7 separate regions of the Mus musculus genome follow, and regions 1, 3, 4, 5, 6 and 7 are each reported to be linked to region 2. The links are microRNA targets in miRTarBase. Many come from high-throughput screens and were not tested one by one. Region 2 holds a microRNA gene; each other region holds the end of a gene's coding sequence.

The links. Region 2 holds the annotated microRNA mmu-miR-139-5p (UCUACAGUGCACGUGUCUCCAG, at 1,984-2,005, shown strand). A microRNA usually pairs through its seed, bases 2 to 8, with sites in the 3' UTR of a target mRNA and lowers its output. Matches are read on the target gene's strand: a 7mer-m8 pairs with bases 2 to 8, a 7mer-A1 pairs with bases 2 to 7 and ends in A, and an 8mer does both.
Region 1: the mRNA of Mbd4 is a reported target of mmu-miR-139-5p. Seed matches in the 3' UTR shown: 7mer-A1 at 1,471-1,477.
Region 3: the mRNA of Acvr1c is a reported target of mmu-miR-139-5p. The part of its 3' UTR that is shown has no 7-base or 8-base seed match.
Region 4: miRTarBase lists Gcnt3 as a target of mmu-miR-139-5p. Seed matches in the 3' UTR shown: 7mer-A1 at 1,882-1,888.
Region 5: the mRNA of Sema3e is a reported target of mmu-miR-139-5p. Seed matches in the 3' UTR shown: 8mer at 1,927-1,934, 7mer-m8 at 2,003-2,009 and 7mer-A1 at 2,207-2,213.
Region 6: the mRNA of Sirpa is a reported target of mmu-miR-139-5p. Seed matches in the 3' UTR shown: 7mer-A1 at 2,576-2,582.
Region 7: miRTarBase lists Rchy1 as a target of mmu-miR-139-5p. Seed matches in the 3' UTR shown: 7mer-A1 at 2,205-2,211.

What each region holds. Positions count from the first base shown.
Region 1 is chr6:115,839,997-115,842,996 of GRCm38, reverse strand. It overlaps Mbd4 (methyl-CpG binding domain protein 4), which reads left to right. Exons shown (of 8, transcript NM_010774.2): 8 at 435-2,300. The coding sequence ends at 512. Among named protein-coding and RNA genes, the nearest start is that of Efcab12, 3.1 kb to the right of the region's middle.
Region 2 is chr7:101,473,399-101,476,398 of GRCm38, forward strand. It overlaps Mir139 (microRNA 139), which reads left to right and starts at 1,978; the gene lies at 1,978-2,045. The region is part of intron 1 of Pde2a (phosphodiesterase 2A, cGMP-stimulated); the gene reads left to right.
Region 3 is chr2:58,272,499-58,275,848 of GRCm38, reverse strand. It overlaps Acvr1c (activin A receptor, type IC), which reads left to right. Exons shown (of 9, transcript NM_001111030.1): 9 at 806-3,350. The coding sequence ends at 931. Among named protein-coding and RNA genes, the nearest start is that of Gm13544, 2.6 kb to the left of the region's middle.
Region 4 is chr9:70,031,167-70,034,469 of GRCm38, reverse strand. Gcnt3 (glucosaminyl (N-acetyl) transferase 3, mucin type) reads left to right here. Exons shown (of 3, transcript NM_028087.2): 3 at 1-2,974. The coding sequence ends at 499. Among named protein-coding and RNA genes, the nearest start is that of Gcnt3, 5.3 kb to the left of the region's middle.
Region 5 is chr5:14,252,409-14,255,762 of GRCm38, forward strand. It overlaps Sema3e (sema domain, immunoglobulin domain (Ig), short basic domain, secreted, (semaphorin) 3E), which reads left to right. Exons shown (of 17, transcript NM_011348.2): 17 at 1-3,354. The coding sequence ends at 382. Among named protein-coding and RNA genes, the nearest start is that of Sema3e, 230 kb to the left of the region's middle.
Region 6 is chr2:129,629,547-129,632,900 of GRCm38, forward strand. Sirpa (signal-regulatory protein alpha) reads left to right here. Exons shown (of 9, transcript NM_001355158.1): 9 at 381-2,682. The coding sequence ends at 638. Among named protein-coding and RNA genes, the nearest start is that of Sirpa, 38 kb to the left of the region's middle.
Region 7 is chr5:91,946,958-91,950,311 of GRCm38, forward strand. It overlaps Rchy1 (ring finger and CHY zinc finger domain containing 1), which reads right to left. Exons shown (of 9, transcript NM_026557.4): 9 at 1,885-2,907. The coding sequence ends at 2,779. Among named protein-coding and RNA genes, the nearest start is that of Rchy1, 14 kb to the right of the region's middle.

The DNA of each region.
Region 1 (3,000 bases), not on the chromosome of region 2:
AATGTGGCATCTGGGTCCTATTAAAACTACCCATTCCTTTGTTCCTGTCCCAACACTGGTACATTTTGATGGCAGTGTGACAGCTGGAGGGTAGCTTGGCACACTGCCTCCTCACAGTATGGCCCTGCGTTAAGTCAGTGATGTCTAGAGAAACCCAGACTGAAGGGCCACAGTTCTACCCCTTCACCACCAGAGCCATTGGTTAGCTTCACAGGGTCTCTAATCATCGCTGCCTTCTGCTCCAGGTCTGGGTTAGTTCTGAACTGGAGAGCACTTTGTAATCCATGTAGGATATCTGTTGTATAAGGTATAACTATATACAGTCTTGGATGCTGTGGGGTTCCATGTCCCGTTTATCTCAGGTATATTATCATGATGAACCCCCTCACTAAACCTTTAAACATGTCTATGGCTGAATGTTGCATTTCTTCCAGGTGCACCCTGAAGACCACAAGTTAAATAAATACCATGACTGGCTTTGGGAGAATCATGAAAAATTAAGTCTATCTTGAAGCTGCCTGTTTGAAGTTTCCCATGCGTCGCCTTGTGCTTCGGTTTCTAAGGGCCCTGTGGTGTGCAGTGAGCTCCCTTCCCGGCACGTGGATTTTTTTTTTCAGTTTGTTAGAAGCCAGTGTATGTCTTAAGCCTCTGCCAAAAAAAAAAAAAAATTGTTAGATAATGATCCTAAAAGTGTTCAGTTTAGGTTTTCCAATGATGAAATTCAACACGCCAATGCTCAAATCCAGTTACCAGCACTCCTGCTAAAGAAAGCCTAAACATGTATTCTCCTTCTGTATAAAGTGATATTGTCATGTGTGGAAAGCCTGCCATTCTTAATGGGTATTCCAGTGTTATAGCTTAAATAGTGAGGCATTTACTTTAGAAAGATATCACTAACTAAAAACCGAATTGACCTTACATGGTGGCACACCCCTGTAATCCCAGCACTCAGGAGGCTGAGGAAGAAGGATGGAAAGTTGAGGGCCTGCCTCTTCTGTGTAGAGAGAGACTCTGCCTCAAGCACAAACAGGGCAGGGCCAGCAAGTGGCCCAGTAAATGAAGTCACTTGCTGCCAGGCATGATGATCTGAATTCCATCCCTGGAACACACTCCTGAAGGTTGGCCTCTTACCTTCACTTGAGCTCATACATAACATGTTACAAAATACATAAAATTTTCAGAAATGGTCTGCAGAGAGATGGTTCAGTAGTTTAATATGCTTGCTGCTTTTATAGAGGTTACTTTTTAGCACCCACATCAGGCAGCTCACAACTGCTTATAACAGCTCCTGGGGATCTGTCACCTTCTTTTGGCTTCATTGGGTACCTTAGCACATGTGGCATATATAGATATAAAGATATACATAAACATAAAAAAAAAATTAAGTCCTAATTACTTAACACTTTTTTTTCTTTTTGGTTTTCCGAGACAGGGTTTCTCTGTGTAGCCCTGGCTGTCCTGGAACTCACTCTGTAGACCAGGCTGGCCTCAAACTCAGAAATCTGCCTGCCTCTGCCTCCCAAGTGCTGGGATTAAAGGCATGCGCCACCACTGCCTGGCTACTTAACACTATTTTAAAATGTAGTTTGAAAATTAAATTATATCTCCTCCTCAAGGCAATATTACTCAAAAATGCATAGTATTCCACCCCATTTTTCATTAATAAAATATATTTTTCATTAATAAAATATATTCACCCATGCCAGTCATCATGGTATACTACTATAATCCTAACACTTGGGAGTCTGGAGAGAATCATGATCAAGGCCAGCCTGGGCTATATGGTAAGACCCTATATCAAAAAAGAGCAAAAAAACAAACCAAAAGATCCACTAGTGGCACACACACAGACAATGAGCAGATGGGCCTTATAATGTATATGTGATGAAAATACATACACAGTACCTGGGATGCTGATGCAAGAGGACCTCTGAATTCAAGGCAGCCTGGCTTATGAGAGTGTGAAGGCAGCTTTGGTTACACAGCAAAACCCTGTACAAAAAATACAAACCAAGTTTGTTGGACTAAATAAGCTATGTCTGCAGAAGTGTCTGTCTGTCTTGTTTAATGGAATTCTTTTTTTTAAAGATTTATTTGTTTTATGTATATGAGTACACTGTAACTGTACAGATGGTTATGAGCCATAATGTGATTGTTGGGAATTGAACTCAGGACCTCTGCTTGCTTCTGGCCCTGCTCTGGCCCCGCTCGAGTATATGGAATTCTTAAGATCCTAATATACTTATGAAACCTATCACTTTGTATTAGGTAGTTAATAAAATATTTTTATTAAAAAGTAAGGTCCCTTTGGCATTGTGTTCTTGACCACTTGCATTGGCTCTGAGGAATTTTAGATTTGCCCTTAATATCCCTGTGCGAGTGTGGCTTATGGCTCCATTGCAACTCACCCTTTAACCCTGATCCTTTGTGAAACCTTCTCTCTCCCAATGTTTGGTGCCATTTCCATGGCAGGTGGTATACCATCATGGTTCTAGTTCCGACGATCAATTGTCATTCTAAGGTTTGGTTTGAAAATTAAATCGAATGAAGGCAAAGTAAACCAGCTGTCAGGAAGCTATTTGTCGTAGGATAGCGAGTGGGTATAGGCAGATGTGCTCTGTTGCAGGCTAATTGATTTTTCCTCTGGTGAACAGGTGGCAGCTGTGAGAGGGATGCTGGAGGTGGAGAGATCATTGGTCACAGAGTAGTCAGGTTCAGTTCCTAGCATGTCTATGGAGGGGATCTGTTGCCCTCCTCTGGGCACACAGGTCGTGTGTATACATGCATGTGAAATAAGTTCACATAAGTGTAAAGAGATGTGATGTGGCAGGAAAGCTGGCCATACCTCCCACTTCACAATAACCCTTAATATTTTCACAAACATCACAGGAACACACATAAGTGCAGAGCTCTGTGCTGGGGAGGGAAAAGGATGAGAAGGCTCTGTAGAGACCTCCCAGGAAGAGAACAGTGCTAACAGTATGGCAGAGAAGACAAAGT
Region 2 (3,000 bases):
TCCCTGGGGAGGTACTGGGAGGGCTGGGGACACTCAGGACCAACCACCAGGCAGGTACCATGGGACACTTAGTTCTCTGCCCAGCACCCCTGGTCAGCCCTCCCTTCCTGCCCTTCTGTAAGCCATACATCGCCCTGTGTCAAGTCAGTGCCATTTAGCATTTATTATCTATTGTGGGCACAGGAGGGAAGGGGACAATGGAAGAGCGGGAGACAAGAGGCTCCACCCAGGCCTAGAGAGAGACACCCAGTCCCATTCCAACATTGGAGAGATGACAAGTCTATCCCTTGGCCAAAGCAGGACTTGAGAAGTCCAAAGCCACAGGAGAGAGGGCCTCGCCCCATGCCTTTAGGGGAGAACCTGGCTATTTTTTTTTTTTTTTGTCTCCTCTGACCTTCCATACACCCCATACCAAACTGGGCATCCAATGTCATGACACCTGAGGTCTAAAGACGTTGGTCTCATAGGAATTCCCAGGAGGACTGGGGTGGAGACAGGTGTTCCCCATGTAGATGACGTCCTTGAATAAGAGGTGCTGCTCACCTGCTCTTCCTGGGACCCTAGGCTTTTCCCACTTGGAGATGATCCTGAAGAGCAGAAGGTCTCCTGGCTTGCCAGATACCTTGAAAATGCTGTCAAAAGTTCTCAGGGAAAAGCATCCTCTCATTCCGTGGGCTGTTTGTCTACGTCTCTCATCACGCCAGACTTGGGATACAGAGACCGCCATTGTCTCCCCACCTGGGACCTCCAGGAACTCCACTTCTCTGCTCAGGAGGTCGCTGGCCTCCACCATTTCTGGGCTCTCATTGGAGACTAGATGATGCTAAGAGCAGAAGAGCTATGGGACAATCAGGATGCTGTCCTTTCCCCCAAAAGCTCCTGGCCTGATGGGGGAGCCAGAGAGGGCAGTGTGGCAAGGTGATGACACACAGCACCGGGAAGGAGCATCCATCAAGTTGTGAGGGTCCGAGTGAGCAGACCATCACTGGCTCTCTCACCCACCCACTCTTGTCTGACCATATCTTTTCCTTTGGCATACTTCCCTTCCTGACACTGGTCCAGCTAGTCACTCGACATTCCTTTCTCCTGAGTGGACCATTATGTCTGACTTGCAGAGGCTTCTAGGCTTGCTGGGTCAAGCTCTGGTCCTATCTCCAAGGCCACATGAGAGGTGGGGTCGTAGACATTCAGGCTCATAGAAACCGGAGCAGGAGGCCAGCCAGTTCACCGAGACCCTTTCTCGGGGTATTGATTCCCAGAGTCTCTTCTTTCTTGTACACCCTGGGGAACAGTGTACCCAAGCTTCCTTGATGCCAAAACATCTCCCCAGACACAGCTCTGAGTCACAGATACTCACCACAGTCCCCAGTGACTGTCCCACTGTATTCAATTCAACTCTCATGGTCACAGAGGCAGGAAGGTTAGAGACCACAGGAAACCAAGATGACGGGAATTGTGAGGAGACTATGGTGACATGTATGGGAGCTGGGCCTTACTGGTTAGAAACCTGAGGGCTATGGGGACAGAGTGGTCCTACTGTGTGGAGGAGGCAACTGAAGATGGGTAGGGTGAGGAGAAGTCAAAGTCTGACCCAACTCAACTCATCTTAAAGCTTCCAGGCCAGGGCCATCACCTCCTCCCGATACTGGGCTCTTGTCTCCCTCCTCTTTCCATTTCCCTAATCTTTCCCTTCTAGACTGGAGAGTAGACTGTCAGTCTGAGAGGACTAACAACCCCTGCCTTCCCACCTGGCTGCTTCTCCTCCTTCCCACTCTCTATCACCACACTTGGCCCTGGATGGCTTTAAAGGGGTCAGTACAGTGGGAGTGCCTGGGGTAGAAGTTCAGCCTGGTTGGGGAGGAGTGGGAGGTCCAGGGGGGGACCAGCTATGGTAAGGGATGAGAGAAGCCAACAGTTGTCCCAAGGGTCCCCCTCAGGGAGTGGAGGTTCCCCTGGGAGGCGCCAGGACAGGCGCAGGTGTATTCTACAGTGCACGTGTCTCCAGTGTGGCTCGGAGGCTGGAGACGCGGCCCTGTTGGAGTAACAACTGAAGCCAGAGTCTTCGAAGGGTGGTGGGCTAAGGGGGAAGAGGGCATGGTGGGCAAAAGAAAGGGGGTGGGGGAGAGAGAAAAGGAGGACAAGGGGGCCCCTTCCTGTAGTACTTGGCTCTTGAGCTGCAGGTGGCTCCTTCCACGTGCCCCTGTGTCACCAACTCAACGATGGCCACAGCTCCTTTTCTCCTTTCTCACCCTTATGCCTCCTCTCCTTGGGGATCTTTCTTGTGGAGTCTCTTCATGTGGGGGTAGCATCCAGCTGTCCCCATGGCTACCCTCACTGGAGAAAGGATCTACCTTCCCTACATCCCGGTCTTTACACCCCTGTGCCTCTAAAGTGGGGTGAGTGAAAGGCACGTCTCAGGCCAGCAGCAGCTAGAAATTGGGGAGTTGGTAGTGCAAATTCATCAACCTCTTCCCAGACCAGCTGATGCAGAAATTCTGGGGTGGGGACAGCACTGTGTATTTCAACAGTCCTCCAGGTGACTCTGGGCCATGCCGTACTTTGGAAACCACTGAGGGACATCTGCAACCACAATCAGTACCTGAGAAAGGTACCTTCCCTTCCCCATAGCCAGAGTCACTCAGGGCTTATGAGGTGGCTCACTTGGCATCTGGGTTGCCCAACATCACCTAGTCTCTTTCCTTTCCTTTTGCTTCTGGCCCAGCTCAGCCTTGCTACTGGGAAGTCGTGGATGCAAGTGTTAGCACACACAAGCAGCTCTTGTAATATTTTCAGGTGACAGGTCTGTTAGAAACAGCTCTTTGGGCAGGTGGCAGGCGTGGGCGGTGGGGAGGGAAAGGAGCCACCTTCTCCTGCTTCCTCTGTTTTCTGCCTTGTGTCTGGGCAGCTGTGAAGAGCCAGAGAGGAAAACTGGGCTTCTGGACTTGGGCTTGGGCTAGGGACTTTCCTATTCTGAGTTTCAAGGAGTCCTCTTAAATAGTT
Region 3 (3,350 bases), not on the chromosome of region 2:
GATTTCCAGGCTCAGTGGAAAGATGCCTTTACCTGCTGAGCCATCTCACTAGTTCAAGCTTCCTGCTTAAATCTAGGGCCTCCCTTTCCCATCTGCAACTTCTTCTCTGCTTTGTGTTGACTTTCCTGTCTTTCACATGTGGTCCCTCATCTCCGAGGTTCTACATTAGTAGTTGAGCATATGCTACTGGGGTGCCCATCTTCAGCGACTCCCCGGGTCTCTCATGTTTCTTGCTTTTACGTTGACTTCTCGCCTAAGTGGATGTCTTTTTTTTTTTTTTTTTTCTTTGACAGTTCGTTTATACTGAGTTTTTCTATTTACCCTCAGACCATCGTTCGCCACACACAATATGAATGGTGAAAGTATAAATCTTAGTTGCCAGTCTGATGACTTTCTTTTCACGCGTGTGCGCATCTGATTAAATATGACTGGGAATTGATACCGTTTCCACAGCCTTCCACAGCTCATGACTCCTTTTAGTTGTTCTATTTGAGACAGGGATTCATGGAATTGGCCTGACCTTGAATTCCTGCTGCTTTTGCCTCCGCCTCCCCAGTACTGGAACTATGAGCTTGTACCGCAGCACTCAGTTATCATCGCCTGTCTTAGCAGAGTTCAAAAATAGCCATCATCGCATCCCAGAAGTTTCAGCTAGTCTTTGCAAGGTTAACGTTTGTGTCTTTATAACAGGATTTTTACAGAAGTTTGGCCCAGTTTCCTCGATCATCCCCTGATCTCTGACTTCACTTCTTTTATCCTCTGTTCTGCACACCTCAAACCTTTGCTGTCTCTCTCTCTCCTGAAGGCGCTGCGGGTCATGGGAAGAATAATGCGTGAGTGCTGGTACGCCAACGGGGCAGCACGCCTGACAGCCCTGCGCGTGAAGAAGACCATCTCCCAGCTGTGTGTCAAGGAAGACTGTAAAGCTTAGCTCTGCGTACAGGCAAAGGAAGAGTGCTCACAGCTTTCCTTCCCGTCTCCCGCTTTGTGTAAATGTTTTTGCTTCTTTTCTGCTGTGTTTTATTTTAGTTCTACCTCAAGGATGACTCACTACAGTGTTGAAGTGTCCCAAAGGCAGCATGTAAAGATAACGCTAAAGTTAAGCATGGGCAGGTCTTGACTTTCCCAGTTTCCATGTTGTCCTTAGTTTTATGTTTAAAGGGGACACGACTCGTTTTTTCTTTTTATTTAAGGAGGAAGATGTTATGAGTATAAGATAAGCTACATACAATGGTAAAAAAAATATTAAATTTTTGTTGTACTTGAACCAAGAGCATCCACAAATGAGATGAAGACATATTTAAAATGTGAACTACTGTATATTATGGTGAAATGGAACTGTAAAAATTAACTGGGTCCTTAAAAAGTAAATTTTGCTCAGAATTTTAACATCTAAAGAGTGGAAAGGTGGAGTAACAAAGTGACACCACGTTCTCAGGACTTGCTTTCTCTGCCTATTTGCCACTCTGCATCACTACGACAGCTGTCCCTAAGTAGTTCGAAAACCACCTGAGCCATTACTCCTCCTGATACATAACAGAGGTCCATATGTCTCAAACACTGTGAAATGGCCCAGAGTCACAGAGCTCTTGCCAGAGCTGGTTACGAACCCTGTGACAACTAGCACTGTGAAGTTTGCTGGCCATTATACTCCCTTGAATTCCCATAGAGCGTTTCTTCCCAAGTGGGAAGATCAATCATCAGTTATAATATTTTAAATTTAGTCACATAGTGAATGCATTGAGTATTTTGTAAGACCATAATAGATTTTCTAGAATTTCAGAACCAATCTATTAGAATTTCATCAAAGAAATGTCATCATTATCCCATTCGATAATGAAAAAAAATGTTTTCTGAACATTGCCAAATATTGACCAATTATAAACATCCATTTTCTAAAGATGTATGTCATAAGATGTCATTGCTTTTGAGGTTCATGGTTGGAAAGAAAATGACAGAAAGATAAACACGGAAAGAATTTGAGGAGAGTTCAGAGAACTCTCCCGAAGGAGTGTAACCCCTTACTGGTAACAGAAGATCACATCAGTGATTACAAGGCATTCCTGGCCTTTTAACAGGGACCATGCATGGAAGGGTTTGGAGGATCTACCTCTATTCTCCATTTTTGAAGTTCAGAATATTTAACAGGACACCAGATATTTCTTTCAAATGTCCTATAGGCTTTAGTGAAGATGGTTTAACTCAACGTCTTTCAGTGTTCTGAAACAGTTTCCCGAACCCCATTCCTTAGAACTTTCATCTACCTAGAAGTTGTTAGAATGGATGTGCACTCTAACAAGGTCTTGAAAAGTGATATGTTAACATATTCTATTCTTTGATAGTTCTAGCAGCAAAGACACATTCCATGGATATTTTTAAGGGTAAATATTTGATTGTAGCCTTTCTATTATGAGTAAGGTGAAGTTTTACTATCTAGCATCTTCTAAAGCCCAACATGGTAAATGATGTTGTGAAGAATACGTTATGTATCCCATAAGAGGGTAACTTGATGTCTACATATCACTATGGAGATATGCTACTCGATCCATCTCATTTGACTAAGTGGAGATAAGAGAAACAAAAGCTGACAGCTGTGGAGTTTGCATGTACTTCCATTCTCAGTCATGTCCTCATCCATTTATAAGCACAGGGCACCCCATAACTTACTTGCCACAATATTGGGTACAAGAGGGAATAACAAGATAGATAGGTCCTGCCCTCGGGGATTTTAAAGTCTAATTTGGGAGTGGGGAAAGACATGTGAGTATGAGGGAAGCGAGTAAATTGACAGATAAAATATGCAGTGGGATGCCTTTGAGTTCTATGTGACAATGGCTTCTAGAATAGGTCTTAAAATCACTTCCAATTTGCAACACATTTAGAAGGGATCTTTATTTAGATATTACAGCCTAATTATATCATCAGCATCAAAAGGTGCGCCTACGTGAATGGATGTTAAGAAGAACCGTGCGAAGGGAGAGCTGGCTTATGTCTATTATCTTATTTCACAGTTTCTACATGACGGCAATGGAATTATTTACTTCAATGATTGTATCCAGATATCCAATGAAAAAAACCTACTCTATCCTGTTCCATTCACCACTGTTAGGGAAGTATATTTTCTAGATTTTAAAAGAGGGTGTTGTAACATCTTTATTTTGGTCATTATGTTTTATAATTTATTTCAGGGTATATACAAACATAACTTATATTTTCTTGGTTTAGATTTCACAGTGGAGAAATCTGCACATTGGTACATTTTGAGACTTTTGCTCATTATTCTGTTGCTGAACTGTAATCCCTAAGTGAATAATCTTAAAGAGCAGAGCCACAGAAGTAGTCAGGGAACA
Region 4 (3,303 bases), not on the chromosome of region 2:
AGACACATTGCACATGACCAGCAAGAGGAAGACGCCGCCACCTAATAACCTAACCATGTTCACTGGGAATGCCTACATGGTGGCTTCTCGAGACTTCATTGAACACGTGTTCAGTAACTCAAAAGCCCGGCAACTGATCGAGTGGGTAAAAGACACCTATAGTCCCGATGAGCACCTTTGGGCCACCCTCCAGCGTGCCTCGTGGATGCCTGGATCAGATCCCTTGCATCGAAAATTTGACCTGTCAGACATGAGAGCCATTGCGAGACTAACCAAGTGGTACGACCATGAGGGAGACATTGAGAACGGGGCACCTTACACGTCTTGCTCAGGAATCCACCAGCGGGCTGTCTGTGTTTATGGGTCAGGGGACCTGCACTGGATACTTCAGAACCATCACCTCTTGGCCAACAAGTTTGACCCAAAGGTGGATGATAATGTTCTTCAGTGTTTAGAAGAATATTTACGTCACAAAGCCATCTATGGGACTGAACTATGAGACACTGTAAGACTATTGTTACCTGTGTGGCAAGAAAATGCCAGGACCTACTGGGGCAGTGTGGGGTAGATAGCTGGGGCTCTAGACTCCATGTGTCCCTTAGGATGAGGGGGCTGCTATTGGACAGCGGGTAAGTAGACCTCTGCTCCTTGTGAGCTGTCGCTGGTGAAGGTGGCTATTCTCCAGCTCCCTCCCCAACTTCTTTGGCTTCCTCGCAGAGCTAGAACATGAAATACTGTTACTTGGGATAATAAGGGAGGGGACATGTGACCAGGGACCCTGGATTTTGGCTGAAGACTTCCTGTCAGGTTCTCTACAGAGACTTTGTTTCAAATACCTCTGGGGGGTTGGTCTTGGGTGGGGAACTTTAGTGCAAAGAGCCCCCCTCTTTTATATTGTTAATTTAACATAAAGAGCTTCTAAACCAAAGCCCTGCCCCTCCAGTGTCATCTGTGAATCCAGAAATAATGTAAGCAGGAAAAATATGTGAGGCATTACTCGTGTGCTGAGGACAGTTAGTGTCTGGTGGCTGGGAAGAAGTCTCCGTAGCAAGCCGAGTAGAAGGCAAACCGAATCACAGAGCTAATTCTCTGTTACTGAAAGCCTTCCTAGTCTTGCTTTCCTTGGTAGATTCTGAATTTTCCATGAGGGGAAGAACAGAGTGATTGGACTGGTTTGCTGAGTATGTGCTTAGCTTCACGGCCAAAGCTCAGCATCCCGTGCCCAGCAGCCAATCTTACTGGAGCTTAGTTTGGTTGGGGGTAGAGGTGGCGCTGTTAATCATTAGGTCCGGGAGTGAAAGGAAACGGTTTTGCTAACCTAAGATGCCTGAGAATTCTGTTTAAACCTCTTGAATGAAAGCTTCTTTATTTCATTGTGTGAATATCAGTCTCGCTGTTTGCCACTTTGTAGATTGTGCCATTTCCCTGTGGGGACACAGTAAGGTGTGTAAATACATATGCACAAATGCTAAACTATGTACATTTACAGGCACACACTCCCCAGTGAAATCACCTCTTCTCTGAAAACCCAGAGCTAATTTTTGGCCTGTATGCATTCCAGTCTGTAAGGAGCAAGGGGCGCTAAAAGCAGAACCTTTGACTATGGTTTAGCTGGCTTCCTGTGTCTATGTCCCCGAAGAGGGGGTTATGTACGAATTAACTTGTGTAATTTGAATGAGGCTCCCATCAATGTGTTAGAATGCTAACAGGTTTCTCCGTTTCAATTCTTGATCCAGTTAAGATTTTCTCTCTACAGTCAACTTTTATTGTAGCCTTGTCCCTTTAACAGTTACTGTGTGATGGGAATGTCTTTTTTTTTTTTTTTTTCTTTTTGATTTCCGGGCAGGGTTTCACCCATATAGCTCTGGCTGTCCTGGAACTCTGTAGACAGGCCTGGCTTCCAACTCAGAGATCCACCTGCCTCTGCCTCCTCAGTGCTGGGATTAAAGAGATGCACCACCATGCCTAGTGGAATTTCTATTTCAAAGTAAGCAACTTCCTTTTTTTTTTTTTTTTTTTTTTAAGATTGGCTTCTGTGGGTAATGGGCATTGTCACCACAAACTTACCCAACACAGCAATATTGAGTCCTTGCCCGCAACCTTACCTCAGAGGTGACAGTGCCATGAAATCAGAAGTCTTCAGAACCCTTCAGCCAGCAGCTGTGACTATTCCTGGCCCTTCCCTCAGGAGGAAAGAAGAGGGGCTGCTGGCCTGTGGGATGTGTGTAGAAACACCTCCTTAAAGACATATATCCTGAGAAAAGAAGCCAGATTCTTCATGGTCAAGTTTTCCCCAAAGCTTTTGTAATAAACTGAGCAGTAGCTTTCCATAGAAAAGCTATCGGGTTGTGGCTCTGTTAGGTTTTGGGAATTTTCCCAACCATTAAAAAAATTTTTTTTTCTAGAAAATGTGTTGGGTGGATGAAAGTAGTTTGTTCAATAGCATGAGGTCATCCAATCAGAAGGATCACGCTTCGCCTGGTTTGTTTAGTGTACATTCAAGGTCACATAGGCAACCCAGCACATCTGTTCATCTTTCCCTTTTGAGGCTTCTCTGTTTCATTAACCCTTCTCTGGAAAGGAAAAGTCCCGGAAACAAAGCAAGCTGTTACACTTGGCCCACCTTCCAAGGCTTAAGTTTCCTCCTTATTTTGATGCATGGCCATCACTGAACTGTACTTTATTTTATTTTTTTGCTGCTCATTCTATCTGTTCTTGGTTTAGTGAACGTTTACTAAGAAAAGAAAAAGCAGTTGTTAACTGTGGGGCATATAATTCAGATGAAGAGGTCAGATACACTGTTTAAAAATGGAGAGACTAATATCTTGTCTGCCTTAAAACGCCTTCACTGACCAAACCAAAGGTCTATCCTTATGTATCTCGCTCATTTGGAATTTATTGCAAAGGTAGAATAAGAAATGATTGTTCATCAGTCTTGATGTGCTGACAACTAATAAAACAATTCATTCCACACACGTGAGCGGAGTTCTTGGTGCTTACCACACATTGTGCTTAATTTTTTTTAATTACATTTATTCATTTGTGCATGGAGGGAGGCCTGGCAGGACACACACACGTGTGATGGCTTGGGTGGTAGTCAGGGGACTGTTTTGGGGAACAGTCACTCTCCTTCCACTATGTTTGCTCCAGGATTGAATTCAGGTTACGAGGCAGGCTTCGTGGCAAGATCTGATCAGCCACCTTGCTGACCCCACACATCGTTATTGACACTGGGAACACAATAGTCATCAAAATGTGAAAATTCCAACACTCACATTATTCATTATTCATTAAAGCGCCAAG
Region 5 (3,354 bases), not on the chromosome of region 2:
AGGGACCTATTTTTGCCAGACAGTAGAACACAATTTTGTCCATACTGTGCGTAAAATCACCTTGGAGGTGGTCGAAGAGCATAAAGTGGAGGGCATGTTTCATAAGGACCATGAAGAGGAAAGACATCACAAGATGCCCTGCCCTCCCTTAAGCGGTATGTCTCAGGGGACAAAACCGTGGTACAAGGAATTCTTGCAGCTGATTGGCTACAGCAACTTCCAGAGAGTGGAAGAATACTGCGAAAAGGTGTGGTGTACAGATAAGAAGAGGAAAAAGCTTAAAATGTCTCCCTCCAAGTGGAAGTATGCCAACCCCCAGGAAAAGAGGCTTCGCTCTAAAGCTGAGCACTTCCGCCTGCCCAGGCACACGCTGCTCTCCTGAGGGCGCCCTCTGCCGGCGGCTGAGGAACCTAGGATGGAAACATTTTTTTAAAGGGGGGGAAAAAAAAAAGACTGAAAGCATGCAGTCTCTTTCCATTACTTCAAAGAACTTTCTGTAGTACTGAGAGGCTGGGAAGGTGTTTTAAGTTATTCTGCATATTCATCTGACTGTACAAACATCTCTCTCACAGTACTAGTACTTAAACGAGTGTATTGCTTTAAAAGGCTTCACGTATTTATCAACATATGATCGGGCTGTAATTTTGAGCTTGCTTTTCAGGGAAATTATTTTGCCATTGGGATATGTATTATAATTATAATATTAAAGAAAAAGTTATAGGTTTTCATAATCAAGAAAAATGTAAAACTCTTTCTGGAGTTTTTTCTTTTTTCTTTTCCTCTTTGCAGCCATAAGGTAAAATATACAGAATATCAGATATTGTAGAATTATCGTGTGAGCTTTCTGGTCAGTTGTTGATTTTTTTTTTTAAGCCATAAGTTGTATGTAGCTGTGTTGTGGTTGCTATAAACTGTACAAGAAATCTGCAACCCATCCATTCTGAGGCTTGTTCTCTTCATGAAACACTCACTAAACTATATTAAGAATATTTCTGTTTTATAAACAAGACATATCTTTTAAATTTCACTTCAGTGTGGAAGGATGGAAGATAGCCTCTCAGAAAGATATTTTTAAATAGTTTCAAACCATGAAAGTAGAATTCTGTTAAAAAGGTCTGTGCTTCCCTCTTGTGGTACAAGAAGGCATTGCATCTCTCAATGCTGTTTCCATAATTTTCCTGCAATGACTTGAAAACAAAATGTAGTAGATACATCTAGTTCACTATTCAGAAGACTCAATTAAAAAATAATTTTATATAATAATTTAATATGGAAATAGCATGCTTCTGGTTAATTCATTACTTCACAACACAACGAAGATGTTAACTGCATTTGAGCTTTGAAATAGAAGAAAGTACCTTTCCAGTCCTACCCTGAGACAAGACACTCTGAAAGTGTGCTTTACCCGCAAAGAAATTATCAAAGCATTCTTTCTCAGAAATGAAATCTTCCTATTTTATATTTACTTCTTGGATTCGTTTTACTACTGACATCTTTAGAGAATCATTATCTTTGTCTTATGAATATAATCAAAATTTATATTTTTCAGAATGTTTATTTCTTGAGATTTTTCTTCTCTGTATTTTAAAGAGTTAGCAGCTTCCGTTCTAAAATATGATTTTTATGAGGCTTTTCAGTTCGGTAAGAGTAACGCAAGTGGATTGTAATAAGAACAATTATGAATACGTATTCAGACTTAAATTTAACTATTATGTCAGCTATCTCAGTATGCTATATAATTAAGAATATAAAGTGTTGAGAACTTCTAATGGATTTCTTTTTCTGTCTAAAATTAGTGACTACATAAATATTCCACAATTTTGAAATTTTAAAATTTTGGAAATTTTAAAGTCCAGAATTTCTAAAACATATAACTAGTATGAATAAAGAGAATGTTGACATCCTCTGAAAGTCCACACGTTATTGACTGTAGAATCCACTGTGTGCCATTGTTCTCCAGCAATAGTAGTTGGCAAAAGGGAGTATTCAAAACTTTTAAAATACTGTAGTTTATGAACACAAAGGGGGGAGGGAAAATTGGGGAATTAAAACCAAAACCACATCACTAGTTCCTAAGGAAAGGATATGTCTGCAATATTACAAGAGAGCAGAAAAATCTATGGAGAAGTTTTTTTTGTTGTTGTTTTGTTTTTGTTTTTTTGAGACAGGGTTTCTCTGTATAGTCCTAGCTGTCCTGGAATTCACTCTGTAGACCAGGCTGGCCTCGAACTCAGAAATTCACCTGCCTCTGCCTCCCAAGTGTTGGGACTAAAGGTGTGTGCCACCACGCCTGGCAGGAGAGGTTTTCAAATGGCCCTTCCACTTAGCAAATTACAGGTAAGGGGAGAGTTTTATCTTAACAAATAACATAAAATAAAAACAAATTAAAGTTAAAAAAAAAAAGGAAATCAGACATCTATGAGTACATTTTAACCTTAACTCTCTGACAGGCAGCTAAAGAGGAAATGATCTTGTTGTGAGCTAAGTAGAATTCAAAGAATATTTTTTTTACAACTTGAACAGTAAATGCAAATAAAGACCATTGAATTAAAAATCAGACATTAATCAAAAAGTAACCTAAAATATACTGATTTAAATAAACATGATAAAATTTCAAGGGCTTGGATACAACTCTAGGGAGAGCAGTAAATTATATATAAATATGTATTTATATATACATATTGTCATGTATTATACATCCTCCTGTACACCCATTTCTGGTAAGAAAACTGGGAACAGACATAGACAGGCAGCCAGAGAGACAGACAGACTGGGAGTGAGAGAGAAAGAGAGAGAGAGGGAGAGAGAGAGAGCGAGCACAGGTTCCCAGGGTATAACTGATGTACCACTGTCTCTGTCCCTCTTTCCTCTGACCATTCTTGCATGTAGATCTCCAAGAAGTATAAGGTGCATCACTAAGCCCTTTCAGAGTTCATGCCAACAGAACACAAATCTACAGAAACAAAAGTGTTTTGAAAATCTGAACCCTGCTACATAAGCATCACCAGTCTTTTGTTGGGCCTGTGGGGTTAAAATTCAAGACTCTCCTTTGAAAAGAATTCTTCTGAAGAAAGCCATGATGATTCCACCATAAACTCAGGTATCTGTAGGACTCTATAAAAGTAGGAGCTCACCTTGAGATGTCCAGACATGACCTTGGCAAACAAAATATATCCCCAAAATACATAGCACACCCAAGAACCTAGCCTCCCATTATTGTTCCAAAGAGGCCCTTCTGTATAACTGGTTTCCTGCTTCTCCAGGTCTCATGGTATCATCTAAAACAAGTAGCCTCTCCCTCAACATAACACAAACTGCCTCGCTACAGAACCAGGCACAGGAAGAACACCACAC
Region 6 (3,354 bases), not on the chromosome of region 2:
GTGCTAGAGCAGAATTGTACATGGTTCACTGGGGTCTCTTATGTGGGAGAGGTGAGAGTGGGTGATCCAGGACAAGGAAAAGATATGGGAAGGGGGAGGGGATAGCTTCAGGTGGTTCCACCCAGAAAGAAGGAGGTGACATGAACCTGGAGGAAGCAAGCTGGGACTGGAAAGGGACATGTGATAACCACCCGAGTGTTTCAGAAGACCCTTTGGGCTCTGTGAGGAGGAAGGTGGATTGGAAGAAGAAAGGCTGGAAATGGGATACCATTGGCAGAGTGAAGGCTGAGCCCACTGGGAAAGAAGTGGGCCGATTTTGTTGCCAGTTGGTGGGTCAATAGGCTGGGGCTCCAGAATGACTTTCTCTCTGTGTCTTTTAGATCCAGGACACAAATGACATCAACGACATCACATACGCAGACCTGAATCTGCCCAAAGAGAAGAAGCCCGCACCCCGGGCCCCTGAGCCTAACAACCACACAGAATATGCAAGCATTGAGACAGGCAAAGTGCCTAGGCCAGAGGATACCCTCACCTATGCTGACCTGGACATGGTCCACCTCAGCCGGGCACAGCCAGCCCCCAAGCCTGAGCCATCTTTCTCAGAGTATGCTAGTGTCCAGGTCCAGAGGAAGTGAATGGGGCTGTGGTCTGTACTAGGCCCCATCCCCACAAGTTTTCTTGTCCTACATGGAGTGGCCATGACGAGGACATCCAGCCAGCCAATCCTGTCCCCAGAAGGCCAGGTGGCACGGGTCCTAGGACCAGGGGTAAGGGTGGCCTTTGTCTTCCCTCCGTGGCTCTTCAACACCTCTTGGGCACCCACGTCCCCTTCTTCCGGAGGCTGGGTGTTGCAGAACCAGAGGGCGAACTGGAGAAAGCTGCCTGGAATCCAAGAAGTGTTGTGCCTCGGCCCATCACTCGTGGGTCTGGATCCTGGTCTTGGCAACCCCAGGTTGCGTCCTTGATGTTCCAGAGCTTGGTCTTCTGTGTGGAGAAGAGCTCACCATCTCTACCCAACTTGAGCTTTGGGACCAGACTCCCTTTAGATCAAACCGCCCCATCTGTGGAAGAACTACACCAGAAGTCAGCAAGTTTTCAGCCAACAGTGCTGGCCTCCCCACCTCCCAGGCTGACTAGCCCTGGGGAGAAGGAACCCTCTCCTCCTAGACCAGCAGAGACTCCCTGGGCATGTTCAGTGTGGCCCCACCTCCCTTCCAGTCCCAGCTTGCTTCCTCCAGCTAGCACTAACTCAGCAGCATCGCTCTGTGGACGCCTGTAAATTATTGAGAAATGTGAACTGTGCAGTCTTAAAGCTAAGGTGTTAGAAAATTTGATTTATGCTGTTTAGTTGTTGTTGGGTTTCTTTTCTTTTTAATTTCTTTTTCTTTTTTGATTTTTTTTCTTTCCCTTAAAACAACAGCAGCAGCATCTTGGCTCTTTGTCATGTGTTGAATGGTTGGGTCTTGTGAAGTCTGAGGTCTAACAGTTTATTGTCCTGGAAGGATTTTCTTACAGCAGAAACAGATTTTTTTCAAATTCCCAGAATCCTGAGGACCAAGAAGGATCCCTCAGCTGCTACTTCCAGCACCCAGCGTCACTGGGACGAACCAGGCCCTGTTCTTACAAGGCCACATGGCTGGCCCTTTGCCTCCATGGCTACTGTGGTAAGTGCAGCCTTGTCTGACCCAATGCTGACCTAATGTTGGCCATTCCACATTGAGGGGACAAGGTCAGTGATGCCCCCCTTCACTCACAAGCACTTCAGAGGCATGCAGAGAGAAGGGACACTCGGCCAGCTCTCTGAGGTAATCAGTGCAAGGAGGAGTCCGTTTTTTGCCAGCAAACCTCAGCAGGATCACACTGGAACAGAACCTGGTCATACCTGTGACAACACAGCTGTGAGCCAGGGCAAACCACCCACTGTCACTGGCTCGAGAGTCTGGGCAGAGGCTCTGACCCTCCACCCTTTAAACTGGATGCCGGGGCCTGGCTGGGCCCAATGCCAAGTGGTTATGGCAACCCTGACTATCTGGTCTTAACATGTAGCTCAGGAAGTGGAGGCGCTAATGTCCCCAATCCCTGGGGATTCCTGATTCCAGCTATTCATGTAAGCAGAGCCAACCTGCCTATTTCTGTAGGTGCGACTGGGATGTTAGGAGCACAGCAAGGACCCAGCTCTGTAGGGCTGGTGACCTGATACTTCTCATAATGGCATCTAGAAGTTAGGCTGAGTTGGCCTCACTGGCCCAGCAAACCAGAACTTGTCTTTGTCCGGGCCATGTTCTTGGGCTGTCTTCTAATTCCAAAGGGTTGGTTGGTAAAGCTCCACCCCCTTCTCCTCTGCCTAAAGACATCACATGTGTATACACACACGGGTGTATAGATGAGTTAAAAGAATGTCCTCGCTGGCATCCTAATTTTGTCTTAAGTTTTTTTGGAGGGAGAAAGGAACAAGGCAAGGGAAGATGTGTAGCTTTGGCTTTAACCAGGCAGCCTGGGGGCTCCCAAGCCTATGGAACCCTGGTACAAAGAAGAGAACAGAAGCGCCCTGTGAGGAGTGGGATTTGTTTTTCTGTAGACCAGATGAGAAGGAAACAGGCCCTGTTTTGTACATAGTTGCAACTTAAAATTTTTGGCTTGCAAAATATTTTTGTAATAAAGATTTCTGGGTAACAATAATGCCTTGGGGGTGTTCCATTTTGTCTTTGAAGCTCTGTCCTTGGAGTCTGCCAGTTGCCTGTCCTCTGGGGCTGGGGGTGAGGATGAACTGTGCCAAGGCTTCAAAACATTCTGTGTAACTTGGTCTACGCTAGGTTTTACAGAAGTTCTGTTCCCTTGGCTCAGACAGAGTCATGGTTGCATCGGTTGTGCTGAAAATTCAGACAGACTTTCTCTACTACTTCAGTGTTGTGGGGGATTTGGACAGTTCACCCACCCGCTCGCTACCTCCGGGACCTTGGCTGTACAATAGGGTTTAATTGTGCCCCTCCCAAGGTTCCCTGGGGATTAAAGAAAGGATCACCCCGTGCTGCATGCAGGTCTGCATTGAGTGTTGAGCTGTGCCTCTCTACCTGCCCAATGGGGCTGATGACCATGGCATAGGCTTTCCATGGCTACAGTAAAGCACTGTGACCAAAAGTGAGTCGGGGAGGAAAGGGTTTATTTTGTTGACATTTACACAACATCACTACACAACATCACAGTTCATCATAGAAGGACAAGAACTAATGCTGAGGCCATAGAGGAGTTATCCTGTAGCTTGGTGTTCCTTTAACCAGACCCGGACACTCCCCACCCCAGAAATTCGTACTCCCCCTTTAGTGTTCAGTCCCTAGACTGAGGGAGGCTTTA
Region 7 (3,354 bases), not on the chromosome of region 2:
ACTGCCCATGTCCAGACTGCAACCTGATCTTGGAGCACAGAACTCAGTCTCTGAATCCACAGTGCACAAGAGCAACCCCACTACTTATTAACCCACTTTACACGTCAGCATTACGGTAATACATTGCGATGCGAGGCAAGACCAAAAGAAAAACTACAAACCAATGCTACTGATGAGCACAGATAATAAATATACCACACTTAATTAAAAAAAGCCCCATAATATTTTACAGTAAGAAGGTTAAAGTCCTTCCTCTAAGGAACAAAAGGATGCTGGTCTCACCACTTCCTCCCACCCCAACAGGATGTCAGAGAATTTAGCAACAGCAAAGAAAGAATAAGATTTCTGTTCTAATTAGGGTTACTATTGCTGTGCTGAAACACCATGACCAAAGCAACTTGGGAAAGAAAAGGGTAAGTAGTTGGCTTTCACTTCCAAATCCCTGAAGAAGCCAGGTCAGTAACTGAAGCGCGACAGGGATCTGGAGGCAGGCGCTGACTCAGAAGACACAGAGGGGTGCTGCTTACTGGCTTGCTCCCTGTGGCTTGCTCAGCCTGCTTTCTTATAGAACCCTGACCACCAGCCCAGGGATGGCATCAGCCACTATGGACTGTGCCCTCCAGTTGATCACTAATTAAGAAAATCCTTTATAGGACTGCAGCCCAGTCTTAACAGAAGCATTCTCTCAACTGAGACTCCCCATTCTCTGATGACTTGACATGAAAGCAGCTGGCACAGTATTCAAGCATCATATTTAAAAAAAAAAAGCCCTAAAGACTTCATCAGAAATTCATACATGTACTTAGGTCATATCCACTCCCACTACTTCCCTCCAGTTCCCATCAAGACCTCCAAACACATCACATCTCACTAATTTCTTTTTCTCTTACAGAGGGTCTTTCTATGTAGCCCAGGATGGCCTTGAACTTAGACCTCCCAAGTGCTAGGATTAAGAATACAGAACACCATGCCTAGCCTTTTTTTTTTTTTTTTTTTTTTAAATTTATGTGTATACTTGGCTGTCAGTATGTGTTGGAAACCCTGAAATTCTGACCTGGGTCCTGTGGACCAAGCTCATGTCCTTTGAAAGAAAAGCAAGTGCTCTGAACCACTCACCCACCTTTCCAGATGACCCTTTCTTTTTTTAATTAATAACCCAGTGAGTCCAACTAGTGCTTTCCATGTACCCACAGGTGCAGCCATCCACTGGGGTGTGGACAACCCACCCGCAACCCACAGCCCCTAAGAAACGCAATGCTTCTCCCTTCACGGGAGCATTATCTGCTCTTCAGCTACAAGCAGGGCTCAGGGCTCACTTTATCCTTGCAGGATTTTTCACAGGCTTGATCTCATAAAGGTCTCAGCAGGCAACCGTGGCTGCTCTAAGTTCACATGCGACAACCTTGTTATGTCAAAACCCAGTGTTTCCCAGCCGTCCTCTTTCATCTTCCAGCTCTCATGTCCTTCCCATCCACCCCCACCATGTTGTTCCCTGAGCCTGGGGAATAGGGGTTGATACAGATGACCCATCTATGCTCGGCATATTCATTAACTTCGAGGAATACTTAGTTCTTCTAGGTAAGCACAGAGAAGTGTAAACTGAGAGCCCTTTCCAGGACTACTTCATCCTATTTATCTCCTGAGAACTTAGAAAATAATCCATGTCTACACTGACGACACATACTGCTTGCATTAATAAGACAGAATATGTTGACCAAATATGAGGAATGGCAGAATGTACCACTACAAGGAACTTTTCATTGTCATTTTAAAGCATCTAGAACCACACCTGGCTTACAGCTGCTTACTAAAATACCAGCTGAATTAATTACTCTGTGGGGAAGTAATTCTGGCAGACGGAAGGACTTGTACCGTAACAGTGGACTTGAGCACTGAAGAGCGTCATTACTTTATACTTTCCCAAATCATTCATCCATAAAAGCATCTCAAAGGGAAAATGTCTTTTATATATGATGGCTTATGTTGTCACAAGAGCCAAAAATTAACAACCTAGAGGGAAAAAAAGTCTGTAAAACAGTATTTCAGTACAATTTCATTAGTAATTTATTACATAAAATTGTATTATAGTATTCAAAGGACTGTCTTAGAAAATTAAAAAGCAGCCGGGCGTGGTGGCACATGCCTTTAATCCTAGCACTTGAGAGGCAGAGGCAGGCAGATTTCTGAGTTCGAGGCCAGCCTGGTCTACAGAGTGAGCTCCAGGTCAGCCAGGGCTACACAGAGAGACCCTGTCTGGAAGAACCAAAAGAGAGAGAGAGAGAGAGAGAGAGAGAGAGAGAGAGAGAGAGAGAGAAAAGAAAAGAAAATTAAGAAGCACACGTAATTAGATTTTAATAAGAACTTAAAAATCACAGTACAGCCCTTAAAATCAAAGACTAGTTAAAATTGAATGTAGTTCTATCAAGAACAAGAAATTAACTCTGCGTGCATAGTATCACTTAAAGTTCCATGAAAATATAAAATATTTCGATGAATGTGACTATATCTGGGACTAACATCATTGGCTTCAAAACTTGACACTAAAGGAATTTCCAATCTACACACGCTCAGAGGCTTCACCCAGTAATCGCTATTACAATCACCCAGTAAGCTCTATTACATTTCCATCCAGAGATCTTGAATCCTCAGGTGTTCACGCTGTGACCCCCTGTTGTGACAGTGGTATGAAACATCTCTGATGCAGATGAACGAACACTGGGATCTTTTACAGAGCTTCATCTCCATCACAGAGCTGTTCTCTAGCCAAGGACAGGCTTCTCACTGCTGATCCACTGGCACTCTACGGCCTCCAGCTTGGGCAGTATTGTAGGAGTCACAAAGCTTACATTTCATGCCTAAGATATGGAACTGGACTGTGGATCGTCCATTACAGTCATTGCAGAGAATCTGAAAAATGAAGAGGAAAAGTTTTAAGCCTTGTAACTACAAGTGACACTGCCTGATTAACAATCACTTGAAAGTCATATGAAAGATGTGAAAATACACGTATGTCTAAGCATTTTTGAAGTGAAAATGTCTTTTCTCCAGTGAGTATTTTAAAGGTTATTAGGATGGCTTTGAATTCATAAAATGAAAATGTGAATCTGAGCTCAGAACACTCAACTTAAAATAGCTCCTAAAAGTATACATAATACAAGCAAGCAAATTAACATGGATATATTCAGATCTTATACTTATCATTAGGCAAACACTTAATATTTAAAAAACAAAATAACACACACGATGATTTCATTATTTTCACTGGCACTCAGAATTTACCTTAATTAATAAAACTGAAATTTCTACAAATTGGAATATTTTGCTTAATTTTTAGGCTTATTATGCCTCAGCAAT